Linked DNA regions of Cricetulus griseus. The protein of the gene in region 2 binds, or shares a complex with, the protein of the main gene of each other region. Links are inferred from orthologs where the notes say so. Each region holds a gene or a part of one and is shown on either strand. Other genes may lie near its edges.

Region 1 (4,002 bases), on a different chromosome or scaffold from region 2:
ATCCTATACATTATAAGTAAGTGGTTTCTGTTACCACTTCACAGATTTCAAAAAAAAAATTATTTTTAGGAGGTAAAGTCACGTTTTCAAATGTCAATACTGTTCGATTCATACTGTAACTTTAAACTTCCCAAACCATAAACCCTCCCATTTCATTCCATGAATGTAGAAGGAAGCCTCTTCTCCAAACCTTCCCTTATTGACCCTTGCCACACCCTTCCCCTCAGTGATTCACAGAGGCAGGGTGTGCTTAGAGACATAAACGCGTTTATTTATTTGCTCTCTGATGGTATTGCCTTAAAGACTCCTGAATGCTGAGCATGTACCAAAGGGAGCTGTTGGTGGCAGAAGCAAACCCTCTCCACTGGATCCAAGATGGGAGCTGGGGAACCTGAGAGCAGAGAAGGAGGTTCCAGAGCACACACAGCACGGTTCAGAGCTGCCTGAAATGCCAGGGATCAGGCTACAAGAGAAAATAAGATAAGACCTTCAACATAGAAGCCAAACAAATCATTTCCCTCTGGTCCTCCATAAGGAAGTCAGCTGAGAGAGGTCAAACAACAAAGCAGGACTGGAGGTGAGAGGATTGTGGATTTCAGGAGAAAAGTTCAAGTCTCACGTTCATTGTAAAATTCAAAACTCAGAGCATTGAACTAGACATCCCTCTAATTATATCTACGCTTTGTGCTTTAACCCTAGACACGACAAAGCAAATAACTTGGACAATGAATAATGCATACAGTGCCTTACAAAACATTTTCAAATTCAGCATTTCCATTCTGTAGATAGAGACTCAGAAAGTCATTCACCCATGGCCCTTATCCAGACACACTGTGTAGATTCAAAACCACAGACAATCCTATGTGTTTGCCCTAAGAAATAGGGGACAGCGCCCTTAAAGGACAAGCCAGACAGAGGCTGTTGGTTACAGTCTCCCTGCCATAAGCCCTGACCTCCAGAGCCTTGAAGCTGAAAAGGTCTGAAAAGCAATGAGTCTGTCCACCCCAGCTGACTCCTTACCTTACTGTGGGAGAAGGCAGAGTTTCCCACACATGCCCAGGCAACACTTATAGTTGCCAGCACACTCGCCATCCCTCTTACACCTATTGGGAGGATTCAGCATCAAACATTGTCCTTGAATCTTTGGGCACTTGCCAGGCTTCGACCTCACTGGTGACAGAAGAAGCACAGGTCAGATGTCTTAGACTTCAGCCACCACATCACTGCTTCTTTAACCCACCTTCTTCAGCCTGAGCAAGGAAAATCACCCCCATTTACCCCTCACCTCAATCACCTACTCCCAGATATGTCCCCTGAAACAACACCTGGTTCCCCTCTAACATCTGCCTCCAGACAATGCAGGTGGCCGGCTGTCTGGTACTGAAAGGGTTGACGGCTTCCATCAAGCTGAATGCCCAGATGATTCTTTGCAAAACCATTACAGAATGGCTGCCTCAGACAAGAGGCTTTTCCTGCTGATGGCAGCATGATGCCTTGACTGATGCCATGTTGGATTCAACCACTCTTAGAAGCAAGCATGCCTAGGAGGACCCCTTCCCGAAATCCCATCCCCTTCAGTGCTAGGTCTTGAGGTTCATTCCTCTGCTCCTGGGTCCTCTGCTGGCTCACCTGCAGTGCGGATGGGAAGAGGATCAATGCATTTGAAACCACACCTAAATTGGCAGCACCTCTTATTTCCCGGGCATTGCCAGTCAGAATCACACTCTGGTTTCTCCTTCCTCAGGCAGTTGACAGGCCTTCTAGAAGGGCAGGCACCACTTTTGATAGCATCTAAAGAGGATGTCATGATGTTAGGAGAGCATGGAACAACTATCACAATTCATAGACAAAGGACCACTTTCCAAACTGTAAATCCTCATCCCAGTAGCCCACAACTACAAAGGGGATTAACTGCAGAAGAAAGCAAAAGGAACAAACAAATATGACAGGCTTGGTCAAACCAGACATGTAAACAGGAAAAACATCACAGACTGAGGACAAAAGGCACAGGGTTCCCAATCAAGTTTTTCCACCTCATGGCTAAGCTAGATTACCAAGGACAGAAGGGGAGAGTGGGAGTAATGGAGACAAGAGAAATAAACAGGAAGGGAACAAACCTGTGAGATGTTGAGAACTAAAGCCAGAGGCAGAAACAGAAAGGACAGGAACAGAGAGAGAGTGAGGCCTGGGTTGACAGGGTGGTTTAATAATCAAGGGAGCATTCTTCCATGCCTTGAAGCCTCATAGGAACCTCTGACCCCAGCAAGACATGGATGCCACCAGGAAGTCCTGAGTAAGCTGAGGACAGCCTAGAGAAAGGAAGACACCAAAACCACCAGGAACCCTCACCTCTGACATTCTAGGCCAAAATAACCCCAACTCACCATTTTTGCCTCCTTCCACAGTCCAGGATGCCAGGATCCCCAGAGCAAGGAGCACCATGAAAGGGAAGAAGGTACTGGACTTCATGGTGAAGGCAGAGTGGCTCTGATGAGCAGTCCCAAGCATCACTATTTGTATCTTTACCAGAGGGTGTGGCTGCAGTGGGGTGTATTTGGCCCCTCCCACATGCTATTGCATAGTCAGGAAGCTTTAGCCAGAGAACAGAAGTCTTGATACTACAGAAGTAGATGGTAGACTTTCTGCTTCAGACAGGACCATGAGGCCAGCAGAGTAACTACCAGAGAGTTGAAAATGAAAGAAGTAGTTTGGAAGTTGTCCTCAGAGGGACATTCAGAGGGACATGTCCACCTGTGCCCTGAGCATTGTGAAATCTGAAACCCTATAGCCCTTACTGGTAGAGAAGAGTAGTAAGGGTCAGTCACAAAAGGGCCACCAGGACCTGATGCTGAAACATAGGAAGTGAACTCTCAGCTGAGACTGCAATGTGCCTCTATTTCTCAAGTTCCTGGACTTTCTGGGATTTTGAAATTCTAAGCTATTGCTCAATGCAAATTTCTTCTCAAAATACAGATGACGCATGGTTCAACCAATTGACATTTATCTCTGCCAAATGATTTGCACCGCTGTTTTCCCAGTGCCTATTTCATGACTGAAACACAGAATACAATCTCTAAATAAATGAAGGTTGTACGCAGAAGGGCATTGGCCCTCAGCAAATCTCTTTGGAGATCAGTTTCCTAGGCATGAAATGACTTAGGACTGGTCCTGAGATTAAGAGTTTGAAATCACACTTAATTAATGAACTGCATCCCTGGCTACAAGTGACCATTGAGATGGATTGGAGCAAAGGGATAAATTCTCTCACTCGTCACTGTAATCAGCACTGAGCTATGGTATCATTTCTGTTGTTAAAGGAATTCTTTCTATCTCTAAATCCACTATGGGCATCAAATGTCAGAAAAAATTATGGCTGCTGTGTGTTCAGCCCATTGTGTGTAAAATCCAGTGTGTCCAAATTGAGTCTAATTCTTAAGAGAGCCACCCTTCTCTGTACAATTCAACCCAATCTTCCCTACCTGCAAAGTTCGAGTCTTGCCTCAACATCATATGATCTTGTTTTTAAATTTCATACATGTTGGTTTGTAAATACGTGTGTGTGTGTGTGTGTGTGTGTGTGTGTGTATAGTTACCCTCCTCCCTCTACTTCCTCCAATGTTTTCCCTACCCTGAACTCCCTCTCAAACTTGGCTTCTTTTTCTTTATTGGGAGTAGGGGATCAAAACAGCTAGCTCTAGCTGTCCTGGAACTCACCCTGTAAACCAGGATGACCTTGAACTCCAAGAGATCTGCCTGCCTCTGCCTCTTGAGTGCTTGAATAAAGGTGTGTACCACCAACAGATGGTATTGGCCTCTTGTTCTTTAATTATTACTGTTCTGTGTGTATATGAATAGATATATTATTACAACCTGCCAACTACATTTAGTGTTGTTCATGTGCACACATTTTATGGGTGACCACTTAATATTGCATAGCCAGCTAGGTGGCTCACCCATGAGGAAAACTTCATCTCTCATTAATTTCCTGCATCTCATCATCTG
Region 2 (3,660 bases):
TCCCCCCATGCCCTGTCCTGGAGTTGGGACGTTGGTTTTGCAACAGCTTTGGCTGCAGCTCCTGGAAGAGATGGGAGGGGAGCTGGCCACAGAGTAGGGGGGCTGGGCCCTGGGTCCTGTCTCCATTGTTGGAGGAGAGCATTCCCCCTGTGTGGTTCCAAATTGGAACCCACACTCTGGCCACTGTCAAGGGCAGCAACTCCTTCTCATGGGTGCCCAGGCATTAATGGGGTCAGGTGGGACTGTGTTCCCCATTGTGAGGAGCAATCATCAAATTAGGGGCTAAGGTGCTACAGTGTGCACCCCAAGTTTAAATGACCTGTTGTGCTGGGCATGGTGGCCCATACCTTTAGTCCCAGTGCTGAGGATGCAGAGGCAGGTGGATCTCTGTGAGTTCCAGCCAGCCTGGTCTACAGAGTGAGACTTTGTCTCAAACATACACACATTCACCTGTCACTGGGTGTGTAGAGCCTCCATGTCCCTCAAGTTTTCTGACTTAATTAAGAATCCAGCTATCCATTCTCTGTCACCCCAAGAAAAAGTCATGCTGACACCGAGCCTTTGACAACGCAATGCATTATGTATTGCTGTTATTACCATGCTTAGGTAAATAAGCTGAGGCTGAGGGATTGGCTGGGCCTCAGGGCACCAAACTGGGCCTGGAGATGCACATCTGTTATCCCAGCACTCAGGAGGTGGAGGCAGGGGAATTAAGAGTTTGAGGCCAGCCTGGACTATTTGAGATCCTATTTTATTTTATTTTTGGTTTTTTAGAGACAGGGATTCTCTGTGTCACCTTGGATGTCGTGGATCTCTGTGGACCAGGCTGGTCTTGAACTCACAGAGATCTGCCTTCCTCTACCTCCTGAGTGCTGGGATTAAAGGTGTGAGCCACCTTTGCCCAGCCCTGAGGTCCTGTTTTTTAAAAAAAAAAAAAAAAAGAGAGAGAAAAAAGATGGCTTGCTCAGTTGTCACTGATATTCAGCAGCGTGTATGAAGTTGAGTGGAGACCCTGGGGGGGGCACGCCTCTCCATGCCACCCACATTGTCCTGTCCTCAGGGAGGAAGTGGGGCTGTGACCGGCATGGGGCAATACAACGGCCTCTGGCTGCAGCTATAAGTATGGCTGTTAGGTAGGGCTGTGGAGAGCCACCAGAGCATAGCCCCACCATGACCCCCAGCCCATCATCCAGCCGGCTTCCTGCTTCCATGCTGCTGGCCTTGCTCCTGGGTGGTGAGTGAGGATGGCCACACTGACCTTTGTCATCTCCATTGTCTTTCCTAATTCTCCCAGGGCTTTAGAAAAAGACATGGAATTTTGCAGTGCCCAGAACACTGTAAGGAAAGAAGGGAGGTGCTTGGATCTTCAGTACAGGAGTACCTTGGGCAGGTTCTTGTTCCTCTCTGCCTCAGTTTCCCTCATCAACATTGTGAGTTCTCATTGGGGGTTCAAACAACTTGGTGGCTGGGGCTCATTCTTCCTCCCCGTGTGTCCCTAGGCCCGGTGCTGGCCTCAGAGATTGTGGGTGGCCGGCCAGCCCAGGCACATGCTTGGCCCTTCATGGTGTCCCTGCAGCGGCGTGGAGGTCACTTCTGTGGTGCCACGCTCATCGCCAGGAACTTCCTCATGTCAGCAGCCCACTGTGTGAATGGCCTGTGAGTCCCCTCTTCGTCCCTCTCAATCCTCAGTGTCCACATGGGCCAGACCAGAGAGGTCAGGTGGGGGCTCCCACTCATACTCCTCCCCTCTCCGCTGTCCACAGAAACATCCGGTCAGTGCAGGCAGTGCTGGGAGCTCACAACCTGCGGCGAAAGGAGCCCACTAGACAGATCTTCTCTGTGCAGCGGATCTTCGAGAATGGCTTTGACCCCACTCGTCTGGTGAACGACATTGTGATCATCCAGGTAGGCTTGGGAGTCCGGGAGCCTGAGACTCAGGTGCAAAGGTCTTGGAGTTCAGGCTTGAGAAAGGTGCAGTGCGGAAGGCTCTGGGAGTGGGGAATGGGGCACAGACACAGTGGGGCAACTTCAGTTATTGCCTCTGAGCCTGTTTCCCACTGAGCACAGTGGGAATAGCTGTCCTGTAGGCCTGATGGTGATGGCTCATAAGATCTAATATATGGAAAGTTCAGGGCAGTGTTCAACAAATTCCTGTTATTTGCGCTTCTCTGCTCACTGACTCTGTGACTCTGGGGTACCTGGGGGAAATATTCTTTTTTTGGTTTTTAGGGATAGGGTTTCTCTGTGTAGCTTTGGAGGCTGTCCTGGAACTCACTCTGGAGACCAGGCTGGCCTCGAACTCACAGAGATCTGAATGCCTCTGCCTCCCGAGTGCTGGGATTAAAGGTGTGCACCAGCAACACGCGGCTGGGGGAAATATTCATTTCTTCCTCCAGTTCCTAACCATCCCCACCACTTGGTGGCAGGGTACTAAGCCATTGTCTAAAGTGCCCTGCGACTTCTTCGTGTTCTAAGTCTCTCCCTTACTCACTGTCCCTCACCTCAGCTCAATGGCTCAGCCACCATTAACACCAACGTGCAGGTGGCCCAGCTGCCTGCCCAGGGCCGTGGCGTGGTTAATGGAACTCAATGCCTGGCCATGGGCTGGGGCAGGCTGGGCACGAACCGACCGGCACCCAATGTGCTCCAAGAGCTCAATGTGACCGTGGTGACAAATTTCTGCCGCAACCGTCTGAATGTATGCACGCTGGTGCCACAACGGAGAGCAGGCATCTGCTTTGTAAGTTCCCTTTTGCAGTAGAAGGGATTGTGGTCAGACCCAAGGGATGACTTCCCAGTGCTGGAGCATGAGTAAGGGGGTGCCGAGAGGGCCAGTCTCTGACCTTGACACCTCCTCAGGGGGATTCTGGAGGACCCTTGGTCTGTAACGGGCTTGTCCAAGGCATCGACTCCTTCATCCGCGGAGGCTGTGGGTCTGGATTTTTCCCAGATGCCTTCGCGCCTGTGGCTGAGTTTGCAGACTGGATCAATTCCATTATCCGAAGCCATGACAACCATCCCCATATCCACCCCAGAGACCCTGAGAGCAGCAATGACTAGGACCTGCCTGTCCTCCCAGTGCCGTCAACCTCAAGGGACAGCTCTCAATAAAAGCAGCATTTGCTTTGTTTGCTGGGTCTGGTGTCTGTTGTCAGTGCCACAGAATGTAGAGCAAAGCCACTATCTAATGTGAGGGGCACCTCCTGGGGACTTGGCTACCAAGCTAGGGCAAAGTCACAGCAGGAGACACGTTCCCCACGTTGTACAAAAAGAGATCAGTGAGATGGCCCTTTTGGGCTTCTGTCCCCTAAAACCCATGTTCAGTTAGGTCTCAGAACTAGGAGGCTGAGGCGGGAAGATTGTCATGAATTTAAGGACAGCCCAGGCAACGAGTGAGGCCCTGTCTCAGAAAACACAGAGGGGCTGGAGAGACAGTTCAGCAGTTAAGAGCATCTGCTGCTCCCAAAGGAGACCTCGGTTCCCGAGTGTGGCTCACAATTACCTATAGCTCCTGTTGCAGGGGGCTTGTCCTCTGGACTCTGGACACCAGGCATGCAATACACACCCCCATACACAGAACTAAGAATAATAAAAGTAAATCTACCAAATAAATAAGCTAGGACTGGTAAGGTGGTGCGGTGGGTGAAGGTGCTGGCCACG

Evidence for each region. Proteins that work in one complex are often made in the same cells at the same time.
Region 1: the proteins of Elane (region 2) and Slpi are in contact, whole or in part, in a crystal structure (PDB 2Z7F), measured with the Homo sapiens proteins. The link is inferred for Cricetulus griseus from reciprocal best matches to the Homo sapiens genes ELANE and SLPI. Residues at the interface, in NP_001963.1 of Homo sapiens: His53, Phe54, Cys55, His70, Cys71, Asn74, Val75, Pro111, Val112, Asn113, Leu114, Leu158, Ile165, Leu180, Arg182, Val197, Cys198, Phe199, Gly200, Asp201, Ser202, Ala216, Ser217, Phe218, Val219, Arg220, Gly221; in NP_003055.1 of Homo sapiens: Tyr93, Gly94, Gln95, Cys96, Leu97, Met98, Leu99, Pro102, Phe104, Met121, Cys122.

Annotation. Positions count from the first base shown.
Region 1 is NC_048599.1:15,125,642-15,129,643, reverse strand, and holds Slpi (antileukoproteinase), read right to left. Parts: upstream 2,855-4,002; 5' UTR 2,509-2,854; coding exon 2,385-2,508; intron 1,792-2,384; coding exon 1,630-1,791; intron 1,171-1,629; coding exon 1,022-1,170; 3' UTR 1,021-1,021; intron 464-1,020; 3' UTR 248-463; downstream 1-247.
Region 2 is NC_048598.1:100,685,265-100,688,924, forward strand, and holds Elane (neutrophil elastase), read left to right. Parts: upstream 1-1,170; coding exon 1,171-1,234; intron 1,235-1,499; coding exon 1,500-1,656; intron 1,657-1,763; coding exon 1,764-1,905; intron 1,906-2,506; coding exon 2,507-2,740; intron 2,741-2,859; coding exon 2,860-3,060; 3' UTR 3,061-3,108; downstream 3,109-3,660. UniProt on the Homo sapiens protein: Serine protease that modifies the functions of natural killer cells, monocytes and granulocytes. Inhibits C5a-dependent neutrophil enzyme release and chemotaxis. Promotes cleavage of GSDMB, thereby inhibiting pyroptosis. Promotes blood coagulation.